Cricetulus griseus: one gene and its partners. The protein of the gene in region 1 purifies or fractionates together with the protein of each later gene. This does not show direct contact. Links are inferred from orthologs where the notes say so. Each region holds a gene or a part of one and is shown in the gene's direction. Other genes may lie near its edges. The genes, in order: Prkaca, Akap5, Vapa, Akap7, Cdc37, Akap11 and Palm2akap2.

The links.
Region 2: the proteins of Prkaca (region 1) and Akap5 purify together in Homo sapiens (affinity purification with mass spectrometry; 6 studies listed by BioGRID and IntAct, with this or other methods). This does not show direct contact. The link is inferred for Cricetulus griseus from reciprocal best matches to the Homo sapiens genes PRKACA and AKAP5.
Region 3: the proteins of Prkaca (region 1) and Vapa purify together in Homo sapiens (affinity purification with mass spectrometry; 4 studies listed by BioGRID and IntAct, with this or other methods). This does not show direct contact. The link is inferred for Cricetulus griseus from reciprocal best matches to the Homo sapiens genes PRKACA and VAPA.
Region 4: the proteins of Prkaca (region 1) and Akap7 purify together in Homo sapiens (affinity purification with mass spectrometry; 4 studies listed by BioGRID and IntAct, with this or other methods). This does not show direct contact. The link is inferred for Cricetulus griseus from reciprocal best matches to the Homo sapiens genes PRKACA and AKAP7.
Region 5: the proteins of Prkaca (region 1) and Cdc37 purify together in Homo sapiens (affinity purification with mass spectrometry; 3 studies listed by BioGRID, with this or other methods). This does not show direct contact. The link is inferred for Cricetulus griseus from reciprocal best matches to the Homo sapiens genes PRKACA and CDC37.
Region 6: the proteins of Prkaca (region 1) and Akap11 purify together in Homo sapiens (affinity purification with mass spectrometry; 5 studies listed by BioGRID and IntAct, with this or other methods). This does not show direct contact. The link is inferred for Cricetulus griseus from reciprocal best matches to the Homo sapiens genes PRKACA and AKAP11.
Region 7: the proteins of Prkaca (region 1) and Palm2akap2 purify together in Homo sapiens (affinity purification with mass spectrometry; 5 studies listed by BioGRID and IntAct, with this or other methods). This does not show direct contact. The link is inferred for Cricetulus griseus from reciprocal best matches to the Homo sapiens genes PRKACA and PALM2AKAP2.

Annotation. Positions count from the first base shown.
Region 1 is NC_048596.1:160,429,045-160,433,047, reverse strand, and holds part of Prkaca (cAMP-dependent protein kinase catalytic subunit alpha), read left to right. Parts: intron 1-1,397; coding exon 1,398-1,480; intron 1,481-3,370; coding exon 3,371-3,497; intron 3,498-3,583; coding exon 3,584-3,679; intron 3,680-3,804; coding exon 3,805-3,927; intron 3,928-4,003.
Region 2 is NC_048598.1:127,161,728-127,166,391, reverse strand, and holds the start of Akap5 (A-kinase anchor protein 5), read left to right. Parts: upstream 1-1,564; 5' UTR 1,565-1,769; coding exon 1,770-3,818; 3' UTR 3,819-4,664. UniProt on the Homo sapiens protein: Multivalent scaffold protein that anchors the cAMP-dependent protein kinase/PKA to cytoskeletal and/or organelle-associated proteins, targeting the signal carried by cAMP to specific intracellular effectors.
Region 3 is NC_048595.1:454,549,750-454,553,752, reverse strand, and holds part of Vapa (vesicle-associated membrane protein-associated protein A), read left to right. Parts: intron 1-1,949; coding exon 1,950-2,102; intron 2,103-3,295; coding exon 3,296-3,399; intron 3,400-3,990; coding exon 3,991-4,003. UniProt on the Homo sapiens protein: Endoplasmic reticulum (ER)-anchored protein that mediates the formation of contact sites between the ER and endosomes via interaction with FFAT motif-containing proteins such as STARD3 or WDR44.
Region 4 is NC_048595.1:244,336,677-244,339,525, reverse strand, and holds the end of Akap7 (A-kinase anchoring protein 7), read left to right. Parts: intron 1-1,052; coding exon 1,053-1,249; 3' UTR 1,250-1,898; downstream 1,899-2,849. UniProt on the Homo sapiens protein: Probably targets cAMP-dependent protein kinase (PKA) to the cellular membrane or cytoskeletal structures.
Region 5 is NC_048597.1:133,999,532-134,003,534, reverse strand, and holds part of Cdc37 (hsp90 co-chaperone Cdc37), read left to right. Parts: intron 1-971; coding exon 972-1,250; intron 1,251-1,529; coding exon 1,530-1,785; intron 1,786-1,868; coding exon 1,869-1,984; intron 1,985-2,061; coding exon 2,062-2,184; intron 2,185-2,987; coding exon 2,988-3,170; intron 3,171-3,274; coding exon 3,275-3,346; intron 3,347-4,003. UniProt on the Homo sapiens protein: Co-chaperone that binds to numerous kinases and promotes their interaction with the Hsp90 complex, resulting in stabilization and promotion of their activity. Inhibits HSP90AA1 ATPase activity.
Region 6 is NW_023276807.1:232,866,074-232,870,076, reverse strand, and holds part of Akap11 (A-kinase anchor protein 11), read left to right. Parts: coding exon 1-951; intron 952-1,099; coding exon of another isoform or gene 1,100-1,112; exon of another isoform or gene 1,113-2,493; intron 2,494-3,611; coding exon 3,612-3,767; intron 3,768-4,003. UniProt on the Homo sapiens protein: Binds to type II regulatory subunits of protein kinase A and anchors/targets them.
Region 7 is NC_048595.1:86,145,705-86,149,707, reverse strand, and holds part of Palm2akap2 (A-kinase anchor protein 2), read left to right. Parts: intron 1-1,980; coding exon 1,981-2,673; intron 2,674-4,003. UniProt on the Homo sapiens protein: Binds to regulatory subunit (RII) of protein kinase A. May be involved in establishing polarity in signaling systems or in integrating PKA-RII isoforms with downstream effectors to capture, amplify and focus diffuse, trans-cellular signals carried by cAMP.

The DNA of each region.
Region 1 (4,003 bases):
GAAGGCCAGGAATTGGGGTGGACTGGGGCCCGGGCATCCCCTGTCCAGCTCTTCAGTAACTCCAGGCCCATCCCCCAGCCTGAGTGACCTCCCTCAGAGTCACCACCCTGACAGACTGCCACTAGGCAATCAGGGAACCTCTTCCCACTGTGCCCTGCAGGAGAGGCACTGGCCATACTGAGCCTTGCTCTTCTGATCTGTGAAATGGGACTCAGTACAGCTCTCATGTTGTGAGATCATAAAATAAGAGTTCTTGCAGTTGCATAAGAACCTGTGGGAACACCTCTTGAACAGGCAGTAACCAGAAGTTCCCCAGCAGAAGCTATACATGATATTGTTCTTTTGTTTTTTCTTTTTTTTTTTTTAAGATTTATTTTTATTTATTATGTGTACAGTGTTCTGCCTGCAGGCCAGAAGAGGGCACCAGGCCTCATTATAGATGGTTGTGAGCCACCATGTGGTCGCTGGGAATTGAACTCAGGACCTCTGCTAGAGCAAGCAGTGCTCTTAACCTCTGAGCCATCTCTCCAGCCCCCAGTTTTTGTTGTTGTTTGTTTGTTTGTTTGTTTTTGTTTTTTCAAGACAGGGTTTTCCTATGTAACAGTCCTGGTTGGCCTAGAACTCGGAGATGTGCCTGCCTCTGCCTCCCATGCACTGGGATTAAAGGTGTGTATCACCATGCCCGACATGATTTTTGTTGTTTTGAGACAGGGTCTCACTGTGTAGTCCAGGCTGGCTCAGAACTCACTATCCTCCTGCCTTTGCTCCCTGAGTGCTGGGATCACACGTGAGCGTCATCACTCCCTGCTGTTTTTGTTTTGTTTCTTGTGGTGCTGGGCATAGAACCCAAGGCTCTGTATGTGGTAGCCAAGGATTCTACAATTGAGCGGCATCCCCAGCCCTGTAATAATCATTTGTTCTTTTTGTTGTGAGCCTGGAAGAGCAGAACTACCTCTCCAGCAGCCTGTAATACTTCTTGTTTTGTTTTCAGCAAGACTTATGTTTTCTTCTTGTTCTACAACCCAGGCTGGGCTCAAAGTCCTCACCCACCCTAGCAGCAGAGTCTCCAGCTGTGTGCTATCATGCCCCACACGTTTTTTTGTTTTGGGTCCTGCAAATTCTGTCTCCGTCTTTCGTGTTTGGCAGATAGTGAAGGTGAAGCTTGAGACAGTAGCCACTGCAGGACTATGGCTGGCCTGTGGCCAGGTCCTCACTTTCTCCCCTTGTGGGAAGAGAGATGTAACTGCCTCTTCCTGCTCCCAGAGAAAATGCAGCTCCTGGTGCTTGAAATATGGACCACTGGGAAGATTTCATTGCTTGCCATTGCAGGCCATTGAGGTTTCCAGCTGGGGCCCAGTGCCTGGAGACAGGGCCTTGACTCACTTTGCCTCCCACAGGACAACTCAAACTTGTACATGGTCATGGAGTATGTGCCTGGTGGGGAGATGTTCTCCCACTTGCGGCGGATCGGAAGGTTCAGGTAAGCAAGCCCCATCCCTGCCACCCCAAGGGCTACCATCCAGGGACATAGAGGGTCCAGTCTACTTAGAAATGGAAAGTGATGTCTCTGAGTTCTGGTGGGGTTTTGTTTTTTAGTGTGCGTGTGTGTGTGTGTGTGTGTGTGTGTGTGTGTGTGTGTGTGTGTGTGTGTGTTTGTGTGTGTGTGTGTGTGTTGTTTATTGATAGGGTGTTGCTATATAGCCAAAGCTGGTCTTTGGCTCAAGAACCTCTGGTTCTCAGTGCTGGATGTGATAGACTGTAGTCACCACACTCAGCCCCTGTGGGGTTTTGTTCCTGTTATGCTAAGCAATTTGTGGTGTTTCAGATAGCTAAGCACAAAAAGAAAAAAAAAGAGAGCGAGAGAGATCATACTGTGTAGCTCAGGCTAGCCTTCAAATCCTAGGCTGACTCAGTTCTCCTAGGAACCACAGAAAGCCACCACTGCACCTAGCAAAAAAAATTTTTTTAATTAATGGATAATTTTATGTAGTTTAAAATTTTATACAAATATATGTGTTACTTGACAACTAGATATAAATATATTTTGTATACACTAAAATCCAAACGTCTTGTCAAATATGGTGGTGCACACCTCTAGTCCCAGCCCCGAGGGTGCTGAGGCAGGAGGATCAGGAGTTTGAGGCTAGCCTAGGCTGCATAAACAGCCCCTGTCTCAAATATAAGCAAACACCTTCAAAGCAGAATCCAAAAGCGAAGTCTCCCTGCGCATGGTGAGGTCTGCCTGAGTCAGAAAGGCAGAGCCTTCCCTTTTCATTTTTGTGTCTGTCTCAAGGGTGCTGGCCGGACCCTGAGCACAGTTTTTCTGGTACCTTGTGCTTCCTTTTTCTCTAAAGTCCTCCTCCCTTCCATGTGACTGTCTGCTGTCATGTGGCTGCCTGCCCTCCATGCTGGTAACTCAACCAGAGTGGCTTTCCCTTCTCCTTCACTTTTCTTTGGGCAGCTGCTGAGAGTCACAGCTCACCTCCCCTGGCGTTTCTCTAAAAGTTGTCCTTGTTTTGTGAACATTAGTTTTGCTTGACTTAACAAAACAAAACAAAAATGAGACCTGTAGTCTTTGGTAGTTGACCCTGTGAGGTATTTTGGGGGTTATTTTTTTGTTTTGTTTTGTTTGAGACAGGGTCTCATTATGTAACTTTGGCTGGCCTAGAACTTACCATGTAGACCAACCAGGCTGGCCTAGAACTCATAGTTCTCTGAAATGCTAGGATTCAAAGTGTATGCCATCATGTCTGGCAGGGTGGTTTTTGTTTTGATTCTTGTATGTACCCTGGTGACTTTCTTCCAAAACTCTGATTATCAGACAAAATCCCTTTAAACTGCTTTCTTGGATAGGTTGGCTCCTCAGCAAAGCACCTGTCCCTTCTAAGCCTTCCAGCTCAAATTTGTTTTAGCTGAGTTTGGAATAGAATTGTACAGCTTAGAATATGAGGGGAAGGTGTGACTTTCTGTTTTGCTTTGTTTTTGACACAAGGTCTCACTAAGTAGACTGGGCTAGCCTGGAACTCATGGTGGTTGGTCTTAGATATATGCCAGTCCTTCTGCCTCTGCCTCTCAGTGTTATAGTGACAGATATGTGCCACCATGACAGGCCCCCCAGTTTTTGCACTAGAGATTGGGTCTCTGAATGTTACCCTGGCTGTCTTTGGAAACCTGGGGACATAATCCCCGGCCTCAGCCTTCTATATAGCTGGGACCACTGGTGCATGACATCATGGCCAGCCTTGAATCTACATTTTGATTAGCTAGACATGGGGTATCTTACTCTGTGGGCACACAGACACACTTGCTAGACCACATGGGGTTGTGGTCATGTTCACCCACATATCCCCTCCTGGCTTGTCCCCACCAGCGAGCCCCATGCCCGTTTCTACGCGGCGCAGATCGTCCTGACCTTTGAGTATCTGCACTCCCTGGACCTCATCTACCGGGACCTGAAGCCCGAGAACCTTCTCATCGACCAGCAGGGCTATATTCAGGTGCCCGAGGCCGGGGGAGGGCGCTCCTGGGCACATGGACACCTGCGGCCCTTCTTCCTACCTACTACCTATTCTTGTGCCTACAGGTGACAGACTTCGGTTTTGCCAAGCGTGTGAAAGGCCGGACTTGGACCTTGTGTGGGACCCCTGAGTACTTGGCCCCCGAGATTATCCTGAGCAAAGTAGGCACCTCACCAGCCTGCCCCACCCCTGAGGCCTGCTCCACCTCACTAGCCCACCCTGCCCCTGAGGAATCATCTCCTCTTCACCTTCTTGCTTCATCGAATGGCCCCCCATCTTGCTCTAGGGCTACAACAAGGCTGTGGACTGGTGGGCTCTCGGAGTCCTCATCTACGAGATGGCTGCTGGTTACCCACCCTTCTTCGCTGACCAGCCTATCCAGATCTACGAGAAAATCGTCTCTGGGAAGGTGAGGCCAGGGTATGGAGCTCAGTCCTTGAAGGAACCAAAACAGCCTTCCACATTCCCCACCTAAGTGTGCTGTC
Region 2 (4,664 bases), on another chromosome or scaffold:
TTCTATCGATAGCTTAGAAGGAATGCTCACTCAGGCTTGGGGACCTTAACACTGGGTTCTAGTGCTTATAAAGGGTGTGTGAGGAGAGACTGTAAATGGTGTGGGTTCCGTCATTATTCTAGAATTTTGTGTTTCTGTGTAGAAACATGAAACGTGCAATACCTACCTTTAAAAAAAAAAAAAAACTCCTTATATCTTAAAATGATTTTTCAGGGTTCCAATCCTACAGAGAATTAGAAGCTGATATGAATGCACCCAAATGAAAGCACAGTACAGAATTTCCATGCAAGCAGAATAATTTGCCTAACTTAGGATGTCTACCAACTAAAATCCATTCCATTCTGTAGATCGTTATTTTTTGGTGGTACTGGGGATCAAATCTCAGACCTTGTGGCTAGGCCAACGGTCTATCCCTGAGCTATATACCCAGACCCACAGCTTAGCTTTGCATATTCTTTTCTCTTGAGACAGGGTCTCAGGTAACCAGTGCTGGCTTCAAATACACTATATGGCTGTGGATGACCTTGATTGGTTCTCCTGCCTCCACCTCCCACATGCTGGTGTTGCCTGGTGCACCACCAAAACCAGCCTCAAATGGAAGTCAGATCACGAGCTTCAGAAGCAGGTGGGCTTCAGAAGCAGGCACCTCAGGTTAAACCTGAGCACTAAGGCTGACTAGCTTTAATCTTAGGCAGGCTGCTTAACTGCAGATGGAGATCTCACCACCTCCTCACTCTGGGATACTGTGGTGCAGGTTAGAGATGCATGAGAAAGTGCTTAGCGCCGCCTCATACCCAGGAGTTGCACAACCAGTGTTGGCTATTACCTCACTAACCTCCAGCTGTGTGCAGTTATAGTGGGAAAGTGTGAGTAGCAGACACTTCGGTGAAAATGTCAAAGTTACACAACAACTTTAAGATGGAAGAACGACAGTCTGAGCAATGCTGGGTTTTTCTGAGAGTCTGTATGGAAAGTAGCACCTCCTTGATGGAATGTACAATTTTAGAACGGAAACCGTATGCTACAATAGAAAGAACACCAGAGAGTCAAAATTTGTACTTCTGACTCTGGCTAGGACCTCATCTAGCCTAAGGCTTTCTGCAAGCCCATTACCCACTGGGGAGCTCAATTTCGTCATTGGGCTGGACTTGATTAATCTTGAGTCATCTCCCAGGTCCTTAGCAATGCCATAGTTCTTCACTGAAGGTGATGAGAAAGGAGTCCCGCTGCCCTATCACTTGCAGTCTGTTGTTTTGTTGTTGTTGCTTGTTAAACTTTTTATGTGGGGCTATAAAATTCATGGAGAAGTCAACTAAGGACCAGGGCACTCTTGCAGAGTGACCACAAACAAAGTTTTAACAAAAATAATAGAACAAAATGGGTTCACACAGGAAGCTTTTTTGATAGGGCAAAAGCAAGCCTCAATTTGAAGCCATGGTTGTTTTGGTATGTACCACAGGGCATATGCCCCATATAACGTAAGTTATATTAAAAATAATAGGCTCGTGGTGAAATATAACCCCACTTTTTTCTCTTATCAGGTTGATCTTTGAATAAAGGCGAATTTTATCCAGGAAAGAGCTTTCATTCGAAGGGGAAAATAAAGGAAGAATCATAAGCAACAGATAAACAAGGCAGTTATGTCCTGAAAAAGCTATAGAAACAACTGTGGAGTGAAAGCAGGGCAGGCACCCAGGAGAAATTGGACTTGGTGTGATATTTTTGTCACAAAAGGCTTCAAGAGGAAGAGAGAAGACACTTCCCAGAGAATGAAAGAGTGTAGTGTAAAAATGGAGACCAAAGTTTCTGAGATTCAGATAGAAACTAAGGATGAGAAGGGGCCAGTAGCTGTTAGTCCTCAGGAAGAGAGGCAGCAGAGAAAAACAGCCACTCTTTGCTTCAAGAGAAGGAAGAAAGCAAACAAGATGAAACCTAAATCTGGTTCCAAAACTGCTGAGGCCACAAAAAAGCATCCCCCAGAAGCTGGGGCTTCTGATCAGCCACAGCCAGCAGGGGCCTGGGCCTCCATCAAACGCCTTGTCACACACAGGAAAAGGTCAGGGTCTTCGGAGAAGCAGAAGCCATCTGAGGCTGAAGTACAGCCCGAGGACTCGGCTCTTCCTAAGAAAAAGGCAAAATCCAGACTCAAGATTCCTTGCATAAGATTCTCAAGAGGGGCAAAGAGAGGTCATCATTCTAAACTCACAGACGATTCAGACTACAACCTCAGAGTCCAAGGAGGGGCTGAGGATTTGGAGACAAAAACCCAGACTCAGTCAACTGACCAAGCTAAGTCCATACAGGGCCCACAGGAAGGTGGGTTGGTGGACAGTAAGGAGGCCCAAGAATCGCATGTCAGCAACAGCATCACATCTAGAGAGAATGTGATTTCTGTAGAACTGGAATTAGAAAAGGAGGCTTCTGCTATTCAGATGGGAACTCCAGTGCTGGAGAAGGAAACTAAAGGGATTAAGGAAAAGCCAAGCGTACAAGCGCAGCAAGCAAGTCCACTCGGGAGTTCAGAAACAGACAGCCCCCGTCCAGTGGCTTCTGATGTTCCTGCCTCACCAGCAACCACCTATCAACGCAGTGTGGAAGAACCCAGGGATGGCATTCAAGAAAGTGCACCAAGTAGAAAAGATGACAGAAGTGGAAAGAGTACAGCTGAAGAAAAGAAATCCGGAGAAATTGTGCTGGGCCAGGCCAAAGAAACTACATTGAGCCAGACAGAAAAAGCTGCTGTCAGCCAGGCAGACAAGAGTGCAATGGCCCAGGCAGAGGAAGGTACCATGGCTGCCATGGCCCAGACAGAAGAAGGTAAACTGAGCCAGGCAGAGGAAGCTTCAGTGGCTCAGGCAGAGGAAGTTGCCTTGGCCCGAGCAGAGGAAGCCATCGTGGCCCAGACAGAGGAAGGTAAACTGAGTCGAGCAGAGGAAGCCACCATGGCCCAGACAGAGAAAGGTAAACTGAGCCAGGCAGAGGAAGCTGCCGTGGCCATCGTGGCCCAGGTAGAGGAAGCTTCAGTGGCTCAGGCAGAGGAAGTTGCCTTGGCCCAAGCAGAGGAAGCCACCATGGCCCAGGCAGAGGAAGGTAAACTGAGCCAAGCAGAGGAAGCTGCTGTGGCCACTGTGGCCCAGACAGAGGAAGGTAAACTGAGCCAGGCAGAGGAAGCTTCAGTGGCTCAGGCAGAGGAAGTTGCCTTGGCCCAAGCAGAGGAAGCCACTGTGGCCCAGGCAGAGGAAACTGCAGTGGCCCAGGCAGTGGAAGGTAAACTGAGCCAGACAGAGGAAGCTTCAGTGGCTCAGGCAGAGGAAGTTGCCTTGGCCCAAGCAGAGGAAGCCACCGTGGCCCAGGCAGAGGAAACTGCAGTGGCCCAGGCAAAGGAAGACGCCGTGGCCCAGGCAAAGGAAGACGCCGTGGCCCAGGTAGTGGAAGGTAAACTGAGCCAGACAGAGGAAGCTGCACTGAGCCAGGCACCAGATCTGAAAGAAAATGGAATCGATACAGAGAAACCCAGATCAGAAGAAAGCAAAAGAATGGAGCCAATTGCTATTATCATCACTGACACTGAAATCAGTGAATTTGATGTTAAGAAATCTAAAAATGTCCCCAAGCAATTCCTAATTTCAATGGAAAATGAGCAAGTAGGGGTTTTTGCTAATGATAGTGATTTCGAAGGGAGAACTTCAGAACAATATGAGACACTCTTAATAGAAACAGCCTCTTCTCTCGTCAACAATGCTATCCAGTTGTCTGTAGAACAGCTGGTTAATGAAATGGTGTCTGAGGATAATAAAATAAATACTCTGTTACAGTGACTTCATTTCCAGATCATGGGAAAGGAAGAAAACAACTCAAAGATGAGTTCTTTTATACATTTGTGGCACTTCTTTCTCAGTAATAAATTAAAGGCTTGTCATCTGTGGAATTTAGAGGGGAAGTTCCAGCCCAGAAGTGCTCAAGAAAAAATGAAGTTTATAAAACTCATTGAAACACAGTCACTTCTGGACTGGAGGGAGTCAGCATAGATCACAAGGTGCAGTGACATGCAGGAAGGTGCAGAATGACCTACGATGAGTTCAGTGTGTTGAGAAAGACTACTTATTGAACACTTGGTGTGCTGTGTGCTCCTTGCTGTTCCCTAATGTCGTGAAGTCTGGGTCTTTCCTGATGGTTCGACCCTGTATATAGGCGAACACTGCCTTTGCTTTTCTTTTACAGTATGTTTTCCTGTTATTTCTAATGGTGAGTCAGGTGGGCTGGTGTTTTGTCCCTCACGGGTTCCTTACAAAGCCATTCACAGGTTTCTTCAGCCGGGCGAGTAGTTAACAAGTGTGTAAGCGTGGAAACAGGGGAGTGCTTTTTCTTCTCTCCCCGTCTTCCTTCTGCCCAGAAGACCTGTATATACCCATCTCCGTGTGGACCTATCTGATGAGACGTTAGAAACAAATAAATGAAGGGAATAGTATTTTTCATCCAGAAGGCAAACTTCCTAGATAACAAAGGATGCCCTTAACAGAGCCACTTCTAAAGGCCCAGGAAAACCATAATATTCTTGTGAAAATATTTCTTCTTCACCAAACATGAACTATGTATACAACTGAATAAAAAGTCAGAATTCATGCTAAAGCATAGATTTTCAACACCAGTGTATTTTGTTGTGT
Region 3 (4,003 bases), on another chromosome or scaffold:
TGAACCAAGCAGCAGTCTTTGTTAGCCATAAAGCTTGGCCATTTTGCTCATGGTTATCAGTAGTCTTTACCCGTCCCTTCTAAGAAGCAGCGGTGAACTTAACCTGAGGCTTGCCAGTGGAACAAAGCCCCCAGTTTACTCTCTTTAGGTGTCTTCTTATGGGATTTATGGCATTGTTTTCCTAAGGTGAAAATGTCTAATTAAGCATTTTGTTTGGGGAGATTCTTTGTCCTTTTAATGTATTATTTGATCTCTGCTTTTTTTTGGGGGGGGGGGTTCGAGACAGGGTTTCTCTGTGGAGCTTTGGAGTCTATCCTGGCACTTGCTCTGAGGACCAGGCTGGCCTCGAACTCACAAGAGATCCACCTGCCTCTGCCTCCTGAGTGCTGGGATTAAAGGCACATAAAGTTTTTAGGAGTTTGTTGATTGAAAGTATGTATCTATTATTAACATCCTATGCAGGCTGATCAAGCCAAAGAGCCCACCTGCCACACTCAAGCTCACAGTTACTGCCATGACTTGCGCCATGACTTGTGGGTATTGAGACTAGCAAGGAGGGAACGCCTTGCTTCATCCCTTTCAGATGTTTATTTCTAGTGAGTTGTATTGTAGAGATGTTAAATCATCTGCTTTTTAAAGAAATAAACAATTGGGGAGCAACAAAGGGTATAAGATAGTCTACTGAATGCACTAGTAACTTAGAATGAAACAAGCACTTGAGAATAAAACTTGACTTCTCAAAGCTTGGACCTACCTCTTTTTCAGTCATCTCACTTTGTGACGGAGTTCCTTTTTCATGTTAAGCATTAGGCAGACCTGTTTGTTTGTGTCAACTGTAGTCTATAGTGACTCATTTTGCTTTTCTTGGGAGCCTTTGTCGTAGACAATTTCCCAACATTCAATCAAACTTTATTGGACATGGCTGGAGAATTTTCTCAATCTGGATTTCAAAGTATGACATTCCAAAGTTTTAAAAACAGCATGATGTTTAATATTTAAATAAACAGGGTCAGTGGTGACCCAGGGTTAAGAGGGCTTGCTGCCACTCTGAAGGCTAATGTTCAATCCATGTAAACATACTCGAAACACCAGTAAGTAACTGAAACAAGGATCACATAAAAATAGGCTTTTATCATAGTTGTCTTTGACAAAGAAAAAACAAAAGCATAACATTGATTTTTAAAAGACCTTTTAAATTTTTGGAGTAATTAGTGATACAGGCTTATCGTTTTCTATTTGACATGTTCTTAGGTGTTTTTTTAATCTTCTCTCTTAAGAAATTCTTGCTGTGTAAACTAGATTGTATAAAGTCTTGGTTTTTCAAACAAAAGCAAATAGGTCTATCTTCACATCTCATAGCCTGCTTTAAAACAATGAGGATGTACTGGTTAAGTAGAGCTGGATCCGATGTTTGAGTTCTGTCCTTGTCTTTTTGTTGAGTACAGAACCACAGCTGTAAGACAACAGCTTTGTATCTAGATAGCGGGTCTGACACATTGTTGTATTTATAAGTACTCAACAGGTATTGGGAAAAGCTTAAGTACTGTCAGCTTTTAGTGCGTTTGGGCATAGAAACTTTACAGTTGGCCTTGGGAATGTGAAGACCCCTGGGGAATTCTGTCACTTGTGTGGCAAGAACACTGTAAGAATAGAATGCGGTTAACATGGTGGCTCTGGATGGAGATGCTTTTTGCCAAGCCTGAGGGCCCAAGTTCGGTTTCTGGTACCCACCTAATGGGAGGAGAGCACCCATCCCCAAATGCCTTCTGATCGCCATAAAGCTCTGTGGCATGTACAACACATAAACTTAATCAGAATTAAAAAACTAAAATCATATGGTTGAATTTATCAAAAGATGGATAGAGACAATTCTTATTAATTTAATCTTGAATTCTGCTTTTGATGTGACTCCAGTTTTAATTGTCTGTCTGTCTCTTTTAACCTTACAGGCCCCTTCACAGATGTAGTCACTACAAATCTTAAATTGCGAAATCCATCGGATAGAAAAGTGTGTTTTAAGGTGAAGACCACAGCACCTCGCCGGTACTGTGTGAGGCCCAACAGTGGAATTATTGACCCAGGGTCAACTGTGACTGTTTCAGGTAGCTGCTAGACTTTTGCAGTTTTGAATATTGACATTTCATGACTTTTATTTAATAGTGTTTTCATCTGTTTATATTTGGCTTCAGTTTTTGTTTAAAGGCTTTCATTGGGTATCTTGCCATTACAAACATTTATTGAAGCTTTATCCCTCTTGTTTTGTATGTAGGTGTGTGATTAATTATTGTCAATTTGGAACATCATATCTTCTATAGCTCACCACCATATTCTGTGTTCTTACTAGTTTATCTTTGAAAAAACAGTAACTCTTTTTCTTTTTAAAAAAGCAATAGTTCTCAACTCCTGCTTTTGTTAATTACAAAGGGAGCAGGAAAACACATGGAGAGAGAATCTATTTGTCATGTCAGATCATGGGGATCAGTTTGGGGAGCATGGCAGAGAAATGAATGTATTAAAATCCCAGTGATTCCTGATAATACTCTGAAAATTTTAAGGTCTCAAATTATATAAGGCCCATTGGGAATATTTAGAAATAGAATCCAACTGCTGCAAAGACGCCATATGCAGTCTTAGTAATAACTAATTTATTGTTTATTATCTGTCTTGGATTTGTATCACATAGGTTTAACATGCAGATTGAACTCAGAGCCTCGAAACTTCTGTAGGCTAGTCAGATATAAAGACATAAAACATGAATGATATGGGGGAATAAAGTCTAAACATTAAATTATGATTTCCTTTGTTTTCTTCAAATTAAATCTAAACAAATGAATACACTCTGAATAATTGTTTAAAATCCAGTTTAGAAAAATGAGTTACAGCCGGGTGTTGGTGGTGCACGCCTTTAATCCCAGCACTCGGGAGGCAGAGGCAGGCGGATCTCTGTGAGTTCGAGGCCAGCCTTGTCTCCAGAGCGAGTGCCAGGATAGGCTCCAAAGCTACACAGAGAAACCCTGTCTCGAAAAACCAAAAAAAAAAAAAAAAAAAAAAAAAAAAAAAGAAAGAAAGAAAAGAAAAAAGAAAAATGAGTTACACTAGAACAGTGCCTCAGTGTCTATATTAAAATATCACAAAAGTGAACTTAATAATTGAAAGTTACAAAGTTGGTTGTGTATCTTGAGTACAAATGGTATATTTGAGTGTTTGAACCTATCTTTATTTTCCTTAAATTTATGTGTTACTGGGTAGTAGGAGATAAAATGTCAAAGATAATGTGTCTTTTCTTTTTCTTTAGTAATGCTACAGCCATTTGATTATGATCCAAATGAAAAGAGTAAACATAAGTTCATGGTACAGACAATTTTTGCTCCACCAAATATTTCAGATATGGAAGCTGTGGTAAGTAAGTGTAGAAGTACATAAATTATTTGGATATGGAGATTTAAACTTTGGGTTTGTTTAGCTCTGAACAATCCTGATTTCCTTGCCAAAAATTAAATACCTGTAAGTCTGTTTGGAACAAAATTTAAAGAATGGAAAAGTCTTGAAATACTGTTTTCTTAGATACCATTTAGAAATGTGTATTGCTAATGACATTGCCCATTCTTTTCATGATAGTTTTATTTGTTTTATTGGGTGTGTGAGGGGGCATGTGAGGGTCCGAGGGCAGCTTGGTGGCGTTGGTTCTTTCAGTCTAGCATATGGGTTCCTAGGGTTGGACTCAGGTTGTCAGTGTCGGCAGCAGTTGCCTTTCCCTTTTGAGCCAGTGTCATTTTCATTGATGGTGATGCAGGGTCTGCAGCGTCTAAAGGTTGAGTGGGTAGACTGTTGTGCAGCTGTTAGCAGGTGTTCCAGCCTTGTACCCCAGCTGAGCCATACCTCTAACAGGGTTCTGAGCTTCCATGCTCAGGCTTCAGTTGTCCCTGTAGATAAAAAGTTTGCCACAATCTTCTCTCATCTCATGTTTGTTTGTTTGTTTTTTTTTTAAAGTGGAAAGAAGCAA
Region 4 (2,849 bases), on another chromosome or scaffold:
TGTGGTTATCAGCAGAATTGGTCCTGCATGTGTGGTGTAGACAAATAACTGGGCTCTGAAGGCAGTATGGGACCAGCAATTACCTCTGGCACATCTTTTGTGCTCCAAGCCCTGTTATAGATGAGGATAGAAAACAGTATCTCTCTTCCTGCTTACACTCACTGTTTTCCTCCTGTCCCAGACCCGAACATGCAGATGTAGCACTGGCTTTGTCATCATGAGCCCTTGGGTGATTGTCCCACAATGAGCTCATCTTACTGTGTGCAGTGTGATGGCTTCTTCAGCACCATCCATCTGATTTCCAACCTACATCATTGGAGGGAGGGAGTGTGCTGAGTGGACTTAGTGGAAGATGCCCTTTACTTTTCCCCAATTTGGAGAGTGGCAGGGTGGGATGTATAGCATGAGAACATGGGAGAAGTAGCTCTTTTTCAAAAGAGTAATGTGAATACTTTACATACACCTGGATCATCACCAGCAGGAGAGCAGAAGGATCATAAAACAGTCACATCTAGGAAGTTACCATCAGGAGATTTTTAAACACAGAACGCTGGCCTTGCAGTCCTGTTTTAAACTGCTGCTGCTGGCATTGGTTACTGCATTTGCCTTGATGTGAGTGCTGGAGAAAACCGGTATCTATGCCAAGCATCTTAAAATGAATGATCACAAGTCATGAGATGACAAGGGACTCTTGATTCCCTGGTAATTAGCATTGGAGAGGGAACAGCAGATCAGATCTCCTTGGTGAATTCATGTGCCTGGGACCTCAGGTGGTAGGCACAAGCAGTAGAGGAACACAAAAGCCCTATGGAAATGGGTAGGCCACAGCATTTCGGGCCAGGGCATGTCTAATGGACTGTCTTCAGCAACAGACAGGCTCATGCTTGGACAAATGTCATAAGAAAAGGCAACCCACTCTCGTTGGATTTATAGATCCCATTTGGCAGAGTGAAGGACACTTGCTCTTTTAACTAGCTGAACTAGCTGGGCCTGGTGGCCTCGTTGCTATGGCAATATGAGCTCAGTGACCTCTCTTCTCTTGTGGAATGTAGGTGAGAAGGACCGAGGGGAGCCTGAGGATGCTGAACTGGTCAGGCTCAGTAAGAGGCTGGTGGAGAACGCCGTGCTCAAGGCTGTCCAGCAGTATTTGGAAGAAACGCAGAACAAAAAGCAGCCGGGGGAGGGGAACTCCAGCAAAGCTGAAGAGGCCAATCAGAATGGCAAAGGCAGTGATAACAACAGGAAGTGAGAGTGGAGCCTATTCCAGCTGCTCTGTGAAAAGCATCCCGGCCCCTCTGCGAAGTCGCAGCCTGACTTGCAATGTGCTATTTAAGGGTCTTGTTCGAGCCCCGGAGATCGCCTACCACATCGATGATTGATGTGTCGGCGTGGCTGCGACACAACAGAAGAGAGTGGGGTGCTGGGGCCAGCAGAAGAAATTAGTCTACAGAAGAACAGTCCCGAGTTCATGTACCATCAAGCATGCACAAGGGCGAGGGGGCACCTCCGGAAGGCACGCGGGCCGAGGGACTGGACTCGCCGCCGAAGGAATACTGCCGTTTACATTGCTTAGAGCATCTGACTACTTTATCTGAGGCCAAAACTTGCACACAGCTATCAAGTACTGAGTTCAGTTTGTCACTGTTGAAATGATCATGTGTGTAGTGAGTCCACAATGTTTCACATTTGTCCCCACTGTACTCTTACCATAATCTTTATTTGCAGTAAATTAAGTTTCATGTAAATTATATATTTTTGGCAAAACGCAATCTTTTCTATGAAATGTGGGTAACATTTTAAAGGTTTTTCAGCCTTATTTTGATAAGTCAGTGTGCCATATTTGATGTATTTCATTGATATTTGAACTTTAAATGTATTATATAATTTTTTCCCCTTAGGCAAGAAACCAGTTGGGATCCAAGACTTAATTAATGAAGCTTTGCACCGAGAAAGGATGGAGCTGAAGTCCAAAGTGAAACAGATAAAGGAACTTTTGCTAAAGCCTGAGACTCAGGCCATGATTAGGAAGGAGCTTTTCGAAGGAAGAGTTCTTAATGATGGTAATCACACGATGATGCTGACTTCAGTGTGACTTTGCTGTAGCTCTTCACTGCTTATGATGGTAAAAACCTTATGAACTCTCAGTCCAGCACATAGCCCTTTGGTAAATAACCAAAGTGTTCTTACAGTTTCTACAAAGCCCACAAACCAACATTTGGTAAGGAATCAACAACTTCTTGCCAAAGAAAACATATTTTTGCCTTATCATCATCATCAGCTAAAGTTGAGTTTTAGAATGTTTGTTTGGGTGTTGACTCATTTTATAGATATAACTTCTTAGTTAGCTGTTGTGAGATGTTCCATGGGTCCTTGCAGATAAAAAACAAAAAGCAAAGAACGTTGATTATGAAAAATCCTTTGTAGACAAAAATACAACAAGACAAAACCAACAACAGTATTCTAAGGGCCGCCTGCCTCCTGTTGATATGACCCTTTCTTACTAGCATTGGCCAGGCTCGTCCAGTCTCACGTTATGTTACATTTGATGAGAATTTGAATGCTTATTGAGTATCCGTACTTGAATGAACACTTATAAATGTAATCATTGCAGTCACTGGTTAAGAATGTTTATGATATCCACATGTATTATTTTTCACTGATGAAAATGTAGTTTGCTTTTTCATTTTTTAGGGAACAAATGTTCAGTGTTTTTATTTTCTGCTTTTCTGAAGATGAGCCCCAAGCTGCACTGTGTTCTTCCCCATTTGTATAGTTTGCACTGGTTCACTTTTGTATTTTTTGGTTGTGAGCCTAACCTTTAACGGCTGAGCCATCTCTCCAGCCCCTGG
Region 5 (4,003 bases), on another chromosome or scaffold:
ATGTCTTCAGATGGTAAGCAAGGGCTAGCAAGGTGGCTCAGTGGGTAAAGGCACTTGCCACCAAGCCCGACAACTTGAGTTCCATCCCTGGCACCCACACAGTGGGCTCCCACATTTCCTCTTTGTGTGTTGTTGCGATACATGTGAGCATGCATATACACAAAAATAAATAAATTGATTAAACCTATTTTTTCAAAATTAAAATTCTGAACAAGGCCACTGCTGCTGAGCTACTCCCCTCACATGGCCAGTTGCTGTTGCTCTACCTTGCTCCTGTCCTGGGGAGGTAGAGGACCAGGGGCCCAGGTTCGTTCTCAGCTACACAGAGAAGCAGTTGCTAGTAAGACGAAAAACTGTAAAAATGTGGCATTGGGGCACCAACAAGTAGCTCGTAGCTATGTGGACTGTAGCAAGGACCCAGGGTTTGTCCAACCAGAGTATGTCTAGTCCTCCATGGTAGGCAGGGTGGAAGTTGGGAGGGCAGGACTTAGACTTTGGTGTACACATCTCTTGGGGTCATGTCCGTTGCAGGGATTGAAACCCCAAGGCTGTGGCTGGGCAGGGATCAAGGAACTAAGTTGTTCTTTTGTTTGTTTGTTTGTTTGTTTTTTGTTGTTTTTGTTTTTCGAGACAGGGTTTCTCTGTGGCTTTAGAGGCTGTCCTGGAACTAACTCTTGTAGACCAGGCTGGTCTCAAACTCACAGAGATCCGCCTGCCTCTGCCTCCCAGTGCTGGGACTAAAGGCGTGCGCCACCACTGCCTGGCTTGTTTCTTTTGTTGTTGTTATTTATTTTGAGATGGGGTTTCTCTGTGTAGCCTAGGCTACCCTGGAACTCTTTGTAGACCAGGTTGGCCTCAAACTCAAAGATCCACCTGCCTGTGCCTCCCAAGTGCTGAGACTAAAGGGGAGTGCCACCATGCCGGGCTCCCAAGGGACCAAGTGACCAGCTGCTGGCTGTCCTTGCCCACAGGCCCGAGTGGAGCGCATGGAGCAGTTTCAGAAGGAGAAGGACGAACTGGACCGGGGCTGCCGTGAATGCAAGCGAAAGGTAGCCGAATGCCAACGCAAGCTGAGGGAGCTGGAAGTGGCTGAAGGCGGTGGCCAGGTGGAGCTTGAGCGGCTGCGAGCTGAGGCACAGCAGCTGCGCAAGGAGGAGCGAAGCTGGGAGCAGAAGCTGGAGGACATGCGCAAGAAGGAGAAGAGCATGCCCTGGAACGTGGACACCCTCAGCAAGGACGGCTTCAGCAAGGTGGGCGCAGGCGGGCGGGAGCACTGCAGAGCAGAGCAGAGCAGAGCACTGCAGGGGTGCGGGTGGGTGAGAGCGCTGCAGAGCAGGGTCAGATGTGGGATGCGCATGCTTTGGTGGTGGAGGCTGGACCTGACGGTGAACTATGAAGGCCCTGGGTCCATACCTGTCTCCTCATTCTGACAAGGAGAGGCCGGCAGAGTTATGGGGGGGACAGGTTGATCGTGGGATTGGCCGGTAGAGACCAATGAAGCCCACCCATACCCTCTGATCTGCCCGAAGGCCCGCGGCCACGCCTCTGCCACCTTGATGCACTTAGCGACGCCTCCGCCTCCGATGTGGACAGGATGGGCGCGGCGGCCAAGGCCCCCGCACCCCAGGCGCAACCCTGCCTTGCCCCAGCCCACTTGCCCTCTCGCCCTGTCACAGAGCATAGTCAATATCAAGCCTGAGAAGGCAGAGGAAGACTCAGAGGAGGCAAGAGAGCAGAAACACAAGACCTTCGTTGAAAAGTACGAGAAACAGATCAAGCATTTCGGTAAGTGCCTGCACGGGGCCTGCAGTTGGGAGTCAAGGCCAGGAAAGGGCTTCCCACAGCCTCTGCAACACCCTTCCCTGCAGGCATGCTCCACCGCTGGGATGACAGCCAGAAGTACCTGTCAGACAATGTCCACCTGGTGTGCGAGGAGACCGCCAACTACCTGGTTATCTGGTGCATTGACCTGGAAGTGGAGGAGGTGAGTATAGCCTGGCCCAGCTTCAGAAAGACTCCCAGACACTGCCTCTCGGTGACACCCCACCTTTGTCCTGGCAGAAATGTGCACTGATGGAGCAGGTAGCTCACCAGACCATGGTGATGCAGTTCATTCTGGAGCTGGCCAAGAGTCTGAAGGTCGATCCCCGTGCCTGCTTCAGGCAGTTCTTCACCAAGATCAAGGTATGGACTCCTGTACCACCAGAAAGCTCACAGTGTACACACAGACTAGGGGCCTGTGGTTAGATCTTTTATTGGGAGGGCGCAGAGTGGTGCGGAGATTACAGTGGCCAAATATGGCCTTATTTATTTCTTTTTAATCTTTAAAATTGTGTGCATGCATGTATGTATGTTATATATGTTTGTATGGTTTGTGTGTATGTGGACTCATGGTCAGGGGACAACTTTGGAATTGATTCTCTCCTTCCACCTTTGTGTGGGCTCTAGTGATCAAACATGCTGTTGGCCTTGCGTGGCAAACACTTCACTCACTGAACCACCTTGCTGACACTATTTAAGATTTTTTTTTAATTTACTTTACATATTTATTTATTGTTGGTGTGTGTGTGCCTGAGTCTGTGTGCAAGCAAGTGTCTCCAGAGGCTAGAAGAGGCTGTTAGATCCCTGGAGCTGGAGCTCCTGGTATATGATCCTCTGAAAGGCCGGGGATCCTGAGAGTGGGGCAGGCAGGAACAATCCAGAACTGAGGTGCCTGTAAGGCCTTGCTGGAAGACACCTGAAGGTGTAGTACCAGGCCTGTGCTGTTTAGCTGGGCCTGGCAGTTGGCCATTAGTAGATGGGCCCACAAGACAGTAGCAAGGGGCACTGAGTACAGAGAGCAAGGCCAAGCCTTGAGGTGCCTGTGGGAAGTTCAGGAAAAGCCTTGGGGAGCCCCAGAAGGCTTCCAAAAGCTGCAGACAGGGACCTTACCACCTAAAGACCTGGGTGTCAACTGCCCAGTGAATAGCGCCCACCGTCTTCTGCAGACCGCCGACCAACAGTACATGGAGGGCTTCAAATACGAACTGGAGGCCTTTAAGGAGCGTGTGCGGGGCCGTGCCAAGCTGCGCATAGAGAAGGCCATGAAGGAGTACGAGGAGGAGGAGCGCAAGAAGAGGCTGGGCCCTGGTGGCCTGGACCCCGTGGAGGTCTATGAGTCCCTGCCTGAGGTGTGACTCCCCAGAGCCCAGGAGGGAGGAGGGTGATCTGTGAATGTTGTCAACCTCCCCACACCCACTAGCCCAGGTCCTCACCCTACCCCTCTGTACCCCAGGAACTGCAGAAGTGCTTTGATGTGAAGGACGTGCAAATGCTGCAAGATGCCATCAGCAAGATGGATCCCACTGTGAGTTCCCATATGTGGCCCTGGTGCCTGTGTCTAGACATGGTCCCCAAGGTTCTGCAACAGACGGGAAGGAATGGCCTCTGGGTGGGCCTGGTGGTGCTAACCTGTCATCTCAAGAGGCTAAGAGCAGTGTGTTGTAAGTTCAAGGCCAAGCTTAGACAGGATGAGTTCAAGATGAGCCAGAGCAGCTCAGTGAAACCCTGTCTCAAAATAGCAATAAGAAGATGGGGTGTAGCTCAGTGGTTGAGTCCTTGCCTGGTATGTGTGGGACTCTGGTTCCATCCCAGCAGCACAAAATAACAAAACAAAACTAGTGTCCCTCTTGGGCTTCTCTAAGAAAGGAGAGGTGTGCCAGGCGGTGGTGGCCCACAGCTTTGATCCCAGCACTGAGGAGGCAGAAGCAGGTGGATATCTGGTCTTCAAAGTGAGTTCCAGGACAGCCAAGGTTGTTACACAGAGAAACCCTGTCTAAAAAAAAAAAAAAAAAAAAAAAAAAAAGTTTGCTGGTCAGGACTGGGGCTACAAAAACATTTGCCTGGCATTCAGGATGCCCTTGGTTCAAGCCCTAGCACTCATAAAGCCAGTAGTGGCAGGTACATACCTACAGTCACCACACTCAGGAGGAGCATCAGGAATGAGGTCATGGTCATTGTCTGC
Region 6 (4,003 bases), on another chromosome or scaffold:
GACAGTAAAAAGGAAGTGCAGTTCAAAAATGTTCCCTTTGCACAGCTCTGATGTGAAAATAAGCAAGGAACTGTTGACCTCAAATAAAGAGCATTGTCAGGAAGTAGATAAAAGACAAAGAAGAAGAAATGGCAGCCATCTTTGTAACTACCAACCTTGTGAAAGGACACGGGATCCATGTGGAAATGAACTCTCTGAACTGCACAGCTTTTCAGCCTCTCTTGCTAGCATCATAACAAGAGATGTTAAGAAACAGCTGACAGCACCTACAGTTGACTTGCCACAGCCCTCAACAGATTCTTGTCTTCGTGAAAAATCTGGATGTATTGACAAGGGTGAGGGTATTATTGAACCAGAATTTTCAAAGTCTCATCAGCCTTTACAAAACCATGGATTCTGCCAGAATACAGGCACCTTAAGTGGACATAGTCGTGGAGAGAATGCTCAAGCTTTAGAACAGTATGCTAGTAAAGTAGTGGATGACACTTTAGAGCTAAGTTTAGGACCTACAGTTTTCCACATTCCAGAGACCACAGCATCAGCAGATAGAATCACTTATGCCGAAAAATTGTCACCACTCATGAATGGAACTTGTAGATACTGTGACCTTAAGGAACGCCATGGTTGTGCCAGAAGTCCCTCCCAGCCCCCTTTAAAACAGAGTGTATGTGCTAGTGCTAAGCCAGGTTCACATCCAAAACTTGGTAGTATCCACCAGAAATCGAGAATTTTTCATCTTGATGTGCCTCAAATTCATGTTAATCTTGATAAAAGGGCAGTGCTTGCAGAGAAAATAGTTGCTGAAGCTATTGAAAAAGCAGAGAGAGAGCTGAGCAATACCAGTCTGGCAGCCGATAGTGGAATTGGACAAGATGGCATTAGCTTTGCTGAGAGCCTTACCACAGAAATCATGACATCAGCTGTGACAAATGCTGAGCATGTTGTTAGCAGGTACGTTTCAAATTCTCTTTGGGATCTTGTGAAATGAAAATGAAAAGTTAACTTTTTTTGTGTGTATGGCTTCATATCCTGTGCATGGTTTTCACATGAAATATTTGTTTCCCAATCCCTTTTGAGGGACATTATCATCCATTTACAGGGCTGGAAGATGAGAGTTAGAGAACAGTGACCTCAATTTCACAGAACTAAGACACAGGTAAAATTAAAGAAACTGGTGAACTTTATTCACAGATTTTAAACTAGTAATATTGACTACTCTGAGATTAAAGTCTGTTCTGTGGTTGAAGCAGCTTTGTATATGTAGTCTTGGACTATTTTTATTCTTTCTCCCCTATGATAACATCTTCAGAGGAGCCTAGGTGGAAGTTCCTAAGCCCACAGTCTAGGACCTAGCAAATAACTTTGCTATTCATTCTTCAGAATATTCATTTTCTTCTTTAGACCTGGTCGATAATAAGCCTTGAGTTCTTCCTGTAAGTTTGTGGTTTATCCAGGCTGATTTTTTCACAGACTCTTCCTTTGTACTTCTGTTCCTGTGTCTCTTATAGCATTTGTGCCAGTCTTCCCTAAGTACAGTTCAAAGTCCATGCAGTTATATGGAGTTCTGCTTCACATTTTGTAAAGTTAACATGATTTAAGGTTGAAGAATGATTGACTCAAATAGATTATTTGCTAAGATATTAACTGAATGGTTTCACTAATGTCGCTTTTCTCATAAATGTATGATTAATGCAAGTAATCATACTAGTAGAATATATAGTAGAATGTAACAAACCCATAATGCTCACCCGGGTGCTATATGAATATCAAATAGGAAAGCATACTGTAGAGGAGTTTTAGAACATAATATATCTAGACTTTATTTTCAATTACTGTGAGCCCAGTTACCTAGCAATCATTACAAACCCTCCTTTTAACCCCCTCCTGTGGACCATTTTCTTTAAAAAAAAAAAAAAAAAGAAAGAAAAAGAATTGGTAGGTAAATGTTAAATAAAAATAAAGTTGTGGCATAGGATGACTATGTTTGGAATATCGAGTTTAACTGAGTTGTTATGTCTTAAATAAAAAGTGAGAATTGCCTAAAAAGTGGGGAGGGCAGGGGCAGCTCAGGGCTGATTTTAGGTTTTAGGGATATAAAAGAAATGGAAACAGGCAAAAAAAAAAAAAAATGTGTGTTCTCCAAGAGCTTAATATTATAGTAGAATAAGACAAACAGCAGATACATGAGCTGAACAGGACAACAGGGGACATGCTAATGTGGACACACAAAAGCCTATGAGACCTCAGCCCTACACAGACAACTGCGTGAACTCTGGGAGTGGGGGACACAGGCTTCCTAGGGAAGAGCACACCAAGTGCTTGTCCAGTACTAAATGTCATCCCTGAAATATACAGCAATAGTATGTAAGCCTAAGCAGGCTGAATTTCTGTATTTAGGAATATATATGTCTTTCCATATACATATGTATGTGACAACAATAAATGAAAAAAATGGTCATGAATTTTAAAGAGAACAAGGGGGGTTATATGGGAGGGGTTAGAGGGAGAAAAGGGGAAGAGGAGAGTGATGTAATTATAATTTAAAAGAAATAATTTTAAAAAAGGGAGTATTGTTAGCAGAGGTGAGCAAGAACTGTTGGGGCTGGCTTGCATTTTTGAATTGGATAGCAGAGAAACAAAACTAATGGAGTAACACTTAAGCCAAGAACCAAAAGTGAAGATAGAATAAATGATTGGGAATCTGGAGGTGCTGGGATCCAGGCAGAGGGGTGGGAATGCATGTGTGTGACACAGAGAGCTTGTGTTGCTGTTGAGTGACTTGGGGAGTGTAGGTGAGAAAGTGGGCAATATGAGGGGCCTATACATCATGATTGCTTTGAAGCCAAAGGAAGGCTTTGATCCAAAAACTGATAGTTTTTTCTCTTCATGCTTAGAGCATCACTGTTTAGAAATATGTTGAAATAGTGTACATGTATGTATATGTATGTACATGTATACTTATACATACATACAGATGGGCCAAGTAGTATAGTTGCTTTAAATGAGCTTTATTTTTTGACTGTGTCATAAAGATATAAATGTCCCTTCATTAAAAAATAATAAAAGAATTGGGCTGGAGGGATGGCTTGGCTGTTAAAGGCAAGGCTCACAACCAAAGAAATACAAGAATTATTTTTTTTTTAAGGATAAGCCTGGGCTCTCTTAGAACTATGTAGACCAGGCTGGCCTTGAACTCACAGAGATCCGTTGTCTCTACTTCCCAAGTGCTGGGATTAAAGGCCTGTGCCATCATTTCCTGCTAAGAAAGATGTTTCTGATTCATGTTTGAAGAGATTTGTCTAGTTTGAATGTAGGTTTGGTTGACACCACTAGAATTTCAAACTGCCAGAAGGAGGCTCCTTCAGATGCAAATAAAGGTGCTATATTTTTACAGGGCCACTGATGTGTAGACCTTGTAGGAAGGCATGCTTTCTTTAGATAGAGTGTAGATAAACAATACATAAGGACATCTCCACGTAGCAGATGTGGTTCTTGCTGTGCTGTTCTTCAGTCTCATTATTTGCAGATACAGTGAAGTGTTCATGGGATCATTTTATTTCCTGTGATGCTTCAATTATTTTTAAAATTACCACCATGTGCTATTTTCTTAGTCCAAAAGAAATAGAAGATTTTCAGTCAACTGAATCACTTGGCAGCCAGCAGCTGAATCTGAGTGTTGGTGAGGACAGTACTGGTAGCTGGTCCAACTTAAGTTTTGAGGATGACCATCAAGATGAAAGCAGCAGTTTTCATCATCTCAGTGAAAGGTAACTCTGATTTTATAATTAATTATGTTATAAAGGATTTCATTTATATTATTATTATTATTATTATTATTATTATTATTACATTATTATTTGAAATGCTCAACCTGGCAATCTGCTCATACTTCTAACATTATTTTTATTATTCCAGTGTGCCTTTTTGTTTGAATTTATTTTAATTCTTTTTGAGGGGATGGTTCGTCTGGTGTAGCTCAGGCTGGTCTTGAAGTTAAGTTTCT
Region 7 (4,003 bases), on another chromosome or scaffold:
CTCTTTCTACTCCCCCTTCTTTCCCTCCATCTCTTTCTTCTCATTTTCCTTCTTACTTTCTCCTCTCTCCATTCCCTTCCTTTCCCCTCCTATCCCTCTCTTCCCTTCCTCTTTTCTTTCCTCTTTCTTCTGTCTCCTTCATTCCTTCTTTCCTTTTTTCTTTTTGAGACAGGTTCTCAGATAGCCCATGCTGGCCTCAAACTCACTGTGTATTGGAGAGTGACCTTGAATCCCAAATTCTCTTGTCTCCATCTCCCAAATGACTTCCTTCTTTTTATACAACCTTTTTAAAAGTATAGGAAACCATTCTTCCTCCTGGCCATATGAAAGAAAACAGGCCCCGGCCTGCCTTTGGCCCCGTCTATATGTGTAGTCCTCGGGACTTGAGTGGGTCTGGACTGAGGCTTGTGGAAAGAGATAATGATGAGGGGATGGATGGGAAAACCTGAAGCAGATCCCCTCAGTGACTGGATGTGGGAGAGTAGAAAGAAGGGATGAATCAGACATGATTCAAGGCTTCTGGCTTACAGACTAAGCATCGAAACTGTAGTACTAGTGTCACCATACCAAGATGAGGGACGAGTTGAGAGAAGAGGCTGTAATGGTTTTGAAGCTGCTGAGCCCAGCGTATCTGGGTACCATCTAGGTAAAGGGTGCCTGCAGCCAGGTGGCTCTGTGGGCCTGCTACCCCATTCCATCCACAACGTGTGTTTCACAGGGAGCCTCTGAGGGAATGGACACAAATGTTGGGTGTCCCAAGAGGCTATAGGACAGGGGAGAGCTGGTACATAAGCATCAGGATGTGAGATGGTTGGAGAGTCTGGTGCCTTGGGTGACACTCTTCTTAGCCTAGGCAAAAGGAAAGAAGAGTATCGTGGCCGTGAGCATCCATCACAACATGGAGCAGAACAGCAAAAAACAAGACAACGGGAGGGAAAATACAATGGGACAGAATCATGAGCCTTAACACTATTCGGAAAAGAGAGGACAGAATGCTGGTGGAGAGAGCCTTTAATCCCAGCACTCAGGGGGGCAGAGGCAGGTAGTTTGAGGCCAGCCTGGTCTACAGAGTGAGTTCCAGGACAACCGGAGTTACACAGAGAAAACCTGTGTTGAAAAACAGAGGGAGAGAGAGAGAGAGAGGACAGAGGGCCTTTGAGGGCACCATCCTCTGTTCCTATGTTACAGATGTCATGACCACCTGTCCTCTCACTGGTTCTGTTTTTGCTTAGTGACACAGCTGTTCTCCCTCACATGTGATATGAAAATAATCCTTTATAATGACTATATGAATTCCATATGCTGCTGTGGTCGCTGAGGCATTTGAAAGATGCTTTCTTCCCTACAAAGGGTTTGTCCTGGGGTTGTCATACAGTAACTTTATGCTTCAGCTGGAGGTCAGACAATGACTGGGTTACTCTCAGAGTATGCTTTCCTATTCTTTCAGTGTCTGCAGAATAACTAATTGTAGTGTAGGGGAGGACAGCTACGTCCTGCCTGCAAAACACTTGGCACCTTCTCCATTAACAGGCCCAAGAAAATGTAGAGGAAAAAAATAGGCACATATTTGATGAAAGAGTTGGAAAAAATGACTAAGTTTCTGGAAGGTAGGCGCCTCTTTGACATTGTCTATAAGCCTAGGCAGATCTCAGTCAAGATCACTTGCATGTTTCTGGCCTTCCCATCACTCTGCCCTGTTAGATCCGAAGTCTCTTATTTTAGCTGGTCTCTTAAAAAGTCTGGGTCCATTAAGATGTGGTGACTATTTGCATCTGTCTTCCCAGTGCATTAAGCTGCTGTGTGAAGAACACACGCAACCGCCTCTGTCCACACTGCCCACTACATGCTAACACTCAGGATGCTTGATGGTTACAATAGAAAGGGCACAGACCACTTTTTTTTCTGTCTGTTTGGCAATTAACCATTCACTGGCTTTTTTTTGTTGTAACATGCACTTCCTTTCTCTTGTTTTCATTCAAGCTATATACGCCATGGAAATTAATGTGGAGAAAGACAAACAGACAGGAGAGACCAAGATTCTCTCTGCATCCACCATTGGCCCAGAGGGGGTCCATCAGAGAGGAGTCAAAGTCTATGATGATGGTACCAAAGTAGTGTATGAGGTGCACTCAGGAGGCACTGTGGTAGAAAACGGAGTCCACAAATTAAGCGCAAAGGATGTGGAAGAACTAATTCAGAAGGCTGGACAATCGAGCTTCAGGGGACACATGTCTGAAAGGACTGTTGTTGCAGATGGGAGCCTGGGCCATCCCAAGGAACACATGCTCTGCAAAGAAGCCAAGTTAGAAATGGTACAAAAATCTAGGAAAGATCACGCTTCGGGAAACCCCGGGCAGCAGGCCCAGCCCTCCAGCACGGAAGGGCCAGAGGCAAACCTGGATCAACCCGTCACCATGATTTTTATGGGCTACCAAAACATTGAAGATGAAGAGGAGACTAAAAAGGTGCTAGGCTATGACGAAACCATCAAGGCCGAACTAGTCCTAATCGATGAAGACGATGAGAAGTCGCTAAGAGAGAAGACAGTGACGGACGTGTCCACGATCGATGGAAATGCAGCTGAGCTGGTGTCCGGGAGACCCGTGTCAGACACCACAGAACCCTCATCCCCAGAAGGCAAGGAAGAGAGCCTGGCCACAGAACCGGCCCCAGGTACCCAAAAGAAAAAGCGCTGTCAATGCTGTGTTGTCATGTGACCACTTCTTTCTCCTCCCCTTTCTTCCGGGCAGCCTCTCTACTCTCCACCTCTTAAATAGACCTCACTGTACCACTAACAGCGATACTGTGAACTGGAAGCAAACACCTGCCTTGCCTCGCAGTTGGATTTGCTTTGATCTCTCACTCACATCTTTCCTTCTCACTTGGGAAACAACGTGCATGTGTGTGCTTCATTTTTTTTTCTCCCCAAGAACTTACTTTTTCCTCTAAACCTTTCCTTGTGTCTTCAAGAGTGAATCAGTGCCGTACTGCTCGATTGGAGTGGACTCTTCATAGCAACTGGTTATCTAGTAGCCTTAATTGACTTGACTGGACTCACACCCGTTGTTGGCACCGGGGGTTTTCATTTTGGCGTGTGTTCCTCTAACATAGACACGCATACACAGAACATACACACTGCCATGCCCCTGGCTTCTCGCCTGCCTCTTTTGCTGTGTGGGTCTTTGTTTTTTTTTTTATATATATCTTGTGTAGCAAAATGCTGTGAGCTCTAGCCGGTTGCTAGCATAGTCGAAAGTGGACCTATCTTAACCTGGCTGTTCTAGGGTGACACGTTTTCTTTGCTGCCTTACATACGCTTCCAAATTACAGTATTGTACTTTCCTTCTGTTAAAACGGATACGAAGTTGACTGGAAAGCAAAGAACCCAGCGCCTGGCCCAGCTAAAGTGTAGGGACTGACGCATCTATCACCTGCCAGTCAGCAGCTTTCTCTTTCTATGGCTTACCCAATGAACCCTTTCTACAGGACTTTCTAAGGACCTCAGGCCACCATTGTTTTCAGCATCTGTAGTGCTCGCCAACCCATAAGCCTTGTTTCCAAGCTCTCCCAAAATGTAAATTTTTATATTGTTTTCTTTCTCATGGGTATCTTCTGATTGAATTCAGCTATTTTCAAAAAGTGGATCATTTTGAGAAGTCTCTCTGCAGTGACCATATTTCTTAAAACAGTCTTTCTGACCTATAGGGGCTGTCATTACACCCCTACTGAATCCAGGATGGTGCTGTAAGCATTAGCTGTCCATTTCCCATGCCCAGCTGATTAGTCTCACATCTGTGCTTTTTTCTTTTTTTTACTTTTTATTTTGTTTTCATATTCCCATGGGTAAGAGGATGTTTTGGGTAACCTCAATGTATAGTTTTCTCCACTCTTAAAAAAAAAAAAATTGGGCAGTGGTGGTACATGAGGTGGATCTCTGTGAGTTCAAGGCCAGCCTGTTCTACAGAGTGAGTTCCAGGATAGCCAGGGCTACACAGAGATACCA